2 linked regions of the Arabidopsis thaliana genome follow. The protein of the gene in region 2 interacts with the protein of the main gene of each other region in a pairwise test. Each region holds a gene or a part of one and is shown on either strand. Other genes may lie near its edges.

Region 1 (4,318 bases), on a different chromosome or scaffold from region 2:
ACTTTTGGTTGCTTAAAAGAATACACAGCAATATATCAACAACCAAAAGTGGATCAACAAGACTTATCACTGTCAGGTAAATGAAATTGGGCCAAAAGAAGATAAAAACTATTCTCTTGATAAACCAAATGAATACAAACACACCTAGTGTTTTTGATGGTGACCAGTTAGAGCAAAAGCTACAATACTATGTACTATGAATATAAATAAAACGTGGGGAGTGACCATGCTGAATAAGAAACTTATCATGTTCTCTCTTGACCAACCCGAAAAGTGGTGAACTTAATTCCCATTGGCTTGGAGGTTTCAAAATCATATTGCAAGTTGTTGGCTTGTATGGTAGACAGCCAAAGGATTGGATATTTATGTGATAATGTGATAGGGAGAAAATTAAATGTTCAGTGATAGGTCCCCTTCTCACTTTTCTCTGGTATTGTCATCATTTAAGTGGAGCACTGTTTTGTCTATTGGTCATTTGATCCTTTGCTTCTTTTAAGAACCAAATTGGTTAAACAGTAAAACATAAGGTTTTTTTTCTTACTAGTATTAGAAGAGGAAGTAGAACATTACTACAACAAGAATACAAGTAGAAGTTAGTACAGAAGTGAAAAAAGGGTTTGCATAGGAAAACGACAGAACATTAAGAGAGGACCCAGGACAGGTGTTCCTGTGCCTTAGGAAATTGAAAGATCCTTTTCTCTTTCCGGGTCTTTTGTTTTACATCTTCTTTTTTCCCCTACAATATCTTAGTTCTACAATTTTAGGCTTAGTTATACTTATAGCTAATAAAAAAGGGTACAAACTTTTGCCATTTTTTCACTTCTTCATGAGACAATCTCAATCCCCAAAAGAGAAACAAGGACTTGTAGATTTCTCAAAATGGAGCTGTGGAAGACCGTTGAAGTGTGTTCTTTTTGGGTTGCTGAATTGCTGCAGCCATTTTTAACTGCACACACACACACACATAATAAACACACAACTGAAGTATCAGAATCTAACCACCCAAAATGTCATTGGACAAAAAAGTGTGTAAAACAAATATACTCCAGAGGCTGTCTGTCTGTCTCTTTTTATAAGTTGGTTAAACTACAAGGAATTGATCTAATGACATGAGTGCTACAAAAGGGTAAAACATTAAGAACTTGGCTCTGCTTGTTTACCTGATCTTGTTGTCTCTTGAGTCTTGCATTTTCTGCCTGCAAGTGAGCAACTTCAAGTTCTAACTCGTTTGTATAAGCCTGCAAATGAGAATCAAAACCAAGAGACCTTTTTTTAGATCAAAAGCAATTTGATGGCAAAACCACATTTCTTTTCTTCCCTTTTTGATACACATGAGTAGAAGAAGATTAGGAGGGAAGAGGAGAGGCACATTCCTGTTTCCTAGCGCGGGAACGAGCTGCAGATTCTCTGTTCTTGATCATACGCTTATGTCTTCTATTCCCTGAACCTTCATTGGAATCTTGGCCTCTTTTCTTACCAAAAGAACTGGATGGAACCAGAGCCTCGAAAGAGGTGTTGAAGGCATGAGCGTTTGAGAGGTGATGGTGGGTATGAAGATTAGAGTTTGAGGTAACAAGAGGATCTTGGTTATCGAGAAACTCGAAGCCAGCGCCGGAATTCAAGCTCAGAACAGTTGCAGGAGGTGGAAAAGGAGAGCTGTAAAGAACAGTGACCGTGGTGGAATCGCCATTAGGCGCAGAACCCGTGGTCTGGCTTGTGGGTGCTGGTTCCTGGTTCAAAGATCCTTTGAGAAAATCTTGGAAGATTGAGTTAGGGTTTTGGTTGTGGTGGTTTTGGCCCCTGAACCTTGGCTCGTGGTTGTGTTGTGGATGAGGGCTGTGTCGGTTTAGGTGGTGGATGGAAGCAAGGTTGATGTCATTCCAAACTTCTTCCATGGTGACAAGAGATCTCTTCTGGGCTTGAGAGTCTTGAGAAGGTAAAGGAGATGATGATGAGGTTGATGATGATGAAGAAGAAGACGATGGTGATGAGGATGAAATGGAAGAAACTTTGGTGAGAGTCTGGTTCTTGTTTGTAGCAGAGAGTCTATGGTTTCTCTGATGCTTAGCTGATGACAACATTGGAAAAGAGAACAGAAGTGAACCAACAACACAGCTTTAGTCTTTGGTTGTCAATTGTCTAGTAGTATCCTACACGCAGAGAGGGAGTAGAGAGAGAAAGTGGTGAGAGCTCAGAGAGAGGTTCTTGACTTTAGCCGGTCATTTCTGGAATGATGGGGTTGGGTCCAAGACTCCAGAAGAAGAGACAGAGGGATTGAACTATTTCCAATTAAATAATATATTTCAAGAAGAAGAAGAGAAATTCCATAAACTATTATATGTAATTAAAGGTGTTTGTTGATGTCTTCAACGTCAGAGTTATTATAAAGATTAAAAATGGTGTTTGATTATTTCAAAAGTGAAGTATTTTTCATCATCCTTAAATGTAAAGAGTGAGTGGGGGTGAGATGCTTGTAAAAAGCCAGGCAAATATATAAAATTATTTTTGGTTTTATCTCACTTTCTATTTTCTAATATCAAATCCCTTTGGATCACTTTCAACTTTCATGTGTGACTTTAATTTTTGTTCTTGCTCTTAGATTTAAGGAAAATTTGCCAAAATACACTTTTTTCCCCTAAGGGTATTGACGAAATAAAACATTAAAAACAAAATGAAAGTAGATAAGAATATATACATCTTTCTGTATTAGAAATAATTAAATAAATTCGTTTAAATATATAATAAAACACAAAATCCTAACTACTATACCAATAAACTCAAATGTAAAAATTTCTTCTGTTTTTTTTTTGTTTTTGGCAGCAAACATTAATTCCGTTAGAATATTTCATTCCTCTTTTCTTGATGTGGTTAATATATTTTAAACGAAGATAGAATAATATTATCGAATATAAAAAGTAGTACTTGGGTGTTCGTATATGTAATTTGTTTCTATCAAAACTAAAAGTCTGAAAATTATATGTTTGATTAGTACAAAAAAACTTTATTTTATATGAGATTCGGAGTGTTTAAGAACGGGTCATTTGCACTTAACGTTTTCTTAAATATGTAGTTGCAAACATTTCAAATAATATCGACCGTATAGTTGAAATGCATTTAAATAACAAAAATATTGTTAACTATTGAATTGTTCCCCACTTCAAATCATTGGTGTTCATGTCATCCAACGAGATTTGATCAAAGTGTCAATAGTCTGTTTTACAATACGGATAGGGAAATCAATTTATGTGGGTCTCCAACTCTGAACAAAACAAACATTACAAGTGGATAGTAAAGTATTAGATTTTATATGACCAATATAGTTTAGATATTTATGTTGATTGTTTTGAAGATTAGAGACGAATACTAAACTAGTTAATAATTAAGCCAAGTAGAAGATGATACATATTAATAAATCTTTGATCATACGTAATAAACAAATAATATGAGTACCATCCAGATATCTAGATATTCGATTATCGTATCTACTATGTAAGTCAGTCTCCAAGTGCATATCTAGTCACGCTTTTCAAATTTTTCCTTTATTGCAAGTTGATTATATATAAACTATAATAACATACGATATTTGTTTTTCTTTCCTCTTCTCTTATTCTATTCAACAAGATTAACTATTCATTTCCGTACATGTATATAATTTTTTTTCTCTGAATGTTGAAATCAGCCCTCAAGGAAACGTCCCATCTTTTGAACATGCAAAGAGTACTACATTAGGAGCTGTTTATCGAAAATGCAAGCTCCTCAAATACTCATATTTGTTAGAAGATATATATTTTCCATTTGTTGGTGAAAAGTACAAAGACTTTAATTTGTTTACATGTTTCCAAACATTGGGTTTCAAAATACATTTTGAGTTTTTAATGTGAAACACAAATTTCATAGATCTTTGTTGTCGTTTCGCAACCACCAAAAATTCGAATGTAAAGAGTAGTACTTTTGTTAGTATCGACGTCACTACGCATATTCATTGACGAAAATAAAACAAATTTTCCCAGTCTCAAATCATTTTTGCAAAATAAACTCAAAATAAAGTTGGGGTATAGTCTGTAACGAGTGAATTCAAATGTCCATTGTATCATAAAATTGTGCAGAGAACTTGTAAGTTGTATAAGAAAGGAGTGTGACATGTCACGTCTCAGGGGATTGGACAGGTGTCAGCACTATATTGCTCTGTCCCAAACTCCATCAAATCTATTTCTCTGTCTTTTAATATCCTCTTTAGTTTACTTTTAAACAATGCATATAAATGGAAACAAATTCTGTTTTAGCAAGTTATATAAAATTTTCCGGACTATCATACAAC
Region 2 (3,438 bases):
GCGTCCTCAAGTGAAGAAGATGTTACGCATACCTGATCTGCCTCCACCTCCTCCAGGTCAACAACCTTCATTTGACCTGTTTTCAGCTCTCAAGAAAATGAAAGCCATGACACAGGACCATACACAGAACCAGATAGAACCACCTTCGCCAGTAAACCCGAGGCTTTCCTCAACATCGCTGAGTCCTGTTAGTAAGAGGCTCAAGGCTTTGGAGAGCCAAGTAAAGGGAAGGAAGAAGAATAGCAGCAAGAAGAAGTGATTTAAAACGGTGCATACTATTTTTGTTAAGAGGGCCAAACGAAAAAAATAATAAAGCTTTTGAGTCGAAAGTGAACACAGAATTTTCTCACTGATGAAACTACTCTGTGAGCTAAAAAGCTGGAGGCAGCTATTGTAAGTTTGTTTTGACCAATTATAGAATAGAAGATTGTTTTTATAGAAACATTTTGGATAACATATACTTTTTTATCTTGTTAAGTAACAGAACTTGAACAACATTGGATCTTTTTGAACATCTTGGTAATGGTTGGATTTATTCAGCACAAGCATCCATAATCTTTGTAGCTATGTTGAAGTTTATTGTTTATAGAGCAGAGTTATAATAGATAGAGTTAATAAGAAGGACGTCGTCGAGGAGCAGTTTCACGTTGGGCGTTGAAGTAAACAGCAGCAACAGGTTGAGAAAGACCAAAGTAAGAAGAGAAAGCGTTTGTGTTGAAACACTCTCTAGTTTCCGGCGCTGCCTTCACAGCTTGCCTCCCTCTCTGTTTGAATAGCGCAAAGACGTATCTGTGTATTCCCGCCACCGGTTTAGGCGTCTCATATCTCACTATCTCTCTCCCTGCAATCAATAAATCCATTCATGATCTTATCTTCATCAACATACATACATACATACATACATCCCTATTTCTCTTCCTCTTCCAAAAATGTGTTTGCTTGGGAATGTGTTTACAACCAAAGATGTGGTGGGTGAAAAAGTCTATGTAAATGTGTTATGATGTGATGTATTCTTACCAAAAGAAGCATCGGTTGTCCCGGGAATATCTGTCACCATCCTGAATTTGATGAGAACATAAAGAATACATATTATACATTGTTGTTGTAATATATGAGAAGTAATGTGATATCTTCAATCGACTTACCAATGCAGATATTCACGCATATAAGGATTACTAGGACTCGGGGCATCGGGGTCCATCATGATCTTTCGAGTTAAAAAGAAAACCACAAGATTAATGCTACAAGAGAGAACTAAATAAGGTACTTAACATATGTATTTTAAGTTTAGAAGAAAGCTAATTACGTACTAAGGTGAAGAAGGAACGAAGATCTTGGCCACCGATCTCAACGCGAGGCTTAGAGAGGAGAAGAGAAGGCGCGAGCTCGTGACCATTGGATACGATTGTGTTGGAATTGAAAGTGACTCTCATTGTCACACTTGGATTAAACATTTCGAGTACATCTCCTATCACTCTTCCCACTATTAGTGGCTCTATTTCTCTTGACATTTTTCTTTGCTCCAATGTGTTTGCGTTTGTGATTGATGCTGATTTCGTTAGAATGAAAACATGTGATAGCTTTATATAGGCTTTCTAAAGAATCTCGGGACTTGGCACAAAGTGAGAGATAGATTGTATTTTGTATGTATGTATATATCTACTATACTGAATTAGATAGTCTTCCATAAATGCTCTATTATTTTACTATTTGACATTTGTCATCTTTAGATATTGTATGTATATATCTGACATGTAATTTCTAACCATATTACTTCAATTATTGTAATTTGTTACCTATTCTATATGGTTAGAAATTACATGTTTATTTTGTTACCTATTTTAAAAAATACTTCCGTGTATGCACATAACAAAAAAAAAAAAAAAAAAAAAAAAAACTCACATGTATAGATAACAGATCAATTATCTATTGCAAAATTATCTTCACGTTTCGTATTTATTAAAACTCAATAACTATTGTCCCCATTACATTCGAATATTCGATCGACCAAATGGAGAAAAGAATAAGCCCGCGTGTCGATAAAAAAATAAAAACCAGATACTGTGATGATTGGCTTAGGAATTGATTTGTAGATATTCCAAATATGAAGAAGAGATAAAACAATAAAAAGAATGGAATCTGCTTTACAAAGACAAAGAATCTAATTAGACACTTTATAGTTTCTAGTCACAGAATCAACATGAGTTTCTCATCATGCTCAATTCAATACGTGTCCCAAATACAGTGCACCTTATTAATTTTAAATGCTTGTTTCTGTAGCCATTTTGTTGATCCGTCTTATAACCATTATCGTTGAATAGAGAGACATATTTGTTCTCTAGCAATCATCAACACTTTCATTTTCTTGAAGACACTTTACTCTACTGAGAACTAATCAGAAACCAACAAATTTACATGAGAAAATAGAAAACTATACGCTCTTACTTTCTTAGCTAAACAGTCAACGCAAACATTACTACGAAATTAAAAAAGACATAGATTCCAGTTGACGATACAAAAAAAAGTGACTAAAATTTTGTCTGAATAGAATCTAACACGTCGATGGTTAATTGGTGCTAACATAGTAACATATTAGCTTTTAGCCAAACTCAGTTATAAAAAGTTTCTTCGTGTCGTTGGAACTTGGAGATATTTGGAGTCAAAACTAGGAGCTTCTTACTAACATGTAAATTTCGACTTAAGACACACACACGTAGGGATTTCGTAAATTCAAGACAACATCGGATCATAAATTACTAAACATGTCACATGTTCGAATTTGACCAAACTATACAAAAAAAAAAAGAAAAAAAAAAAAAAGAAGAAGAAAATAAAATCTAGGGGACACATTGATATTTGCATGCGAGATTCTCTAGAGAATCCATAGTTGCTGCTTGATGGTTTGTCAAATGCCAAATGTTGTTTCTTCGTAGTGAATTATATACAGAAAGGTGGCATTGTGAACAATCTTTTCTTTTCTTTCTTTTATGAATATCTCTATGGTCCAAGAAAAATTATGCCACAAGAAAAATTAAGGTGACTTTTTCAATAGGCAAAAAGAAAAAAAAGAGGACAGGGGACAGAGAGGTGGTGGAATTGGAGTGATATTTTGTTGAGGAGATCCGATAAAATTAGAACATTATTTTTTTCAACGAAACAAATAAAGAGATGATGTCCAAGTGTGGGAACCTAATAATATCTTATCCCTTATTGACGTATGATCCGATACTATCAGTATCAGTGTACGACCATATCTTTTCCCTCTTTTATTTTGTCAGTGTACGACCATATTCTCCTTTTCATTTTGACATTCAGTGTAAATCGGTTAAACTCATTAATTCATTCATAGTAGAGGTACTAGTTCTAAAATCAGCTGAAACTTATTCTCTTTTTCATCACAAACTTTCATGAATCATGTTTACATCTTAGTTTTCTTCT

The links. The genes of interacting proteins can lie anywhere in the genome.
Region 1: the proteins of BFT (region 2) and FD interact in a two-hybrid assay, tested with the Arabidopsis thaliana proteins (one study listed by BioGRID).

The regions. Positions count from the first base shown.
Region 1 is NC_003075.7:17,002,509-17,006,826, reverse strand, and holds FD (Basic-leucine zipper (bZIP) transcription factor family protein), read right to left. Parts: upstream 2,306-4,318; 5' UTR 2,082-2,305; coding exon 1,374-2,081; coding exon of another isoform or gene 1,347-1,373; exon of another isoform or gene 1,239-1,346; coding exon 1,161-1,238; intron 947-1,160; coding exon 875-946; 3' UTR 519-874; downstream 1-518. UniProt on the Arabidopsis thaliana protein: Transcription factor required for the transition to flowering promoted by FT.
Region 2 is NC_003076.8:24,920,883-24,924,320, reverse strand, and holds BFT (PEBP (phosphatidylethanolamine-binding protein) family protein), read right to left. Parts: upstream 1,520-3,438; 5' UTR 1,512-1,519; coding exon 1,311-1,511; intron 1,208-1,310; coding exon 1,146-1,207; intron 1,059-1,145; coding exon 1,018-1,058; intron 857-1,017; exon of another isoform or gene 842-856; coding exon 612-841; 3' UTR 524-611; downstream 1-523. Other genes in the region: OXA1 (inner membrane OXA1-like protein), read left to right, coding at 1-259. UniProt on the Arabidopsis thaliana protein: May form complexes with phosphorylated ligands by interfering with kinases and their effectors.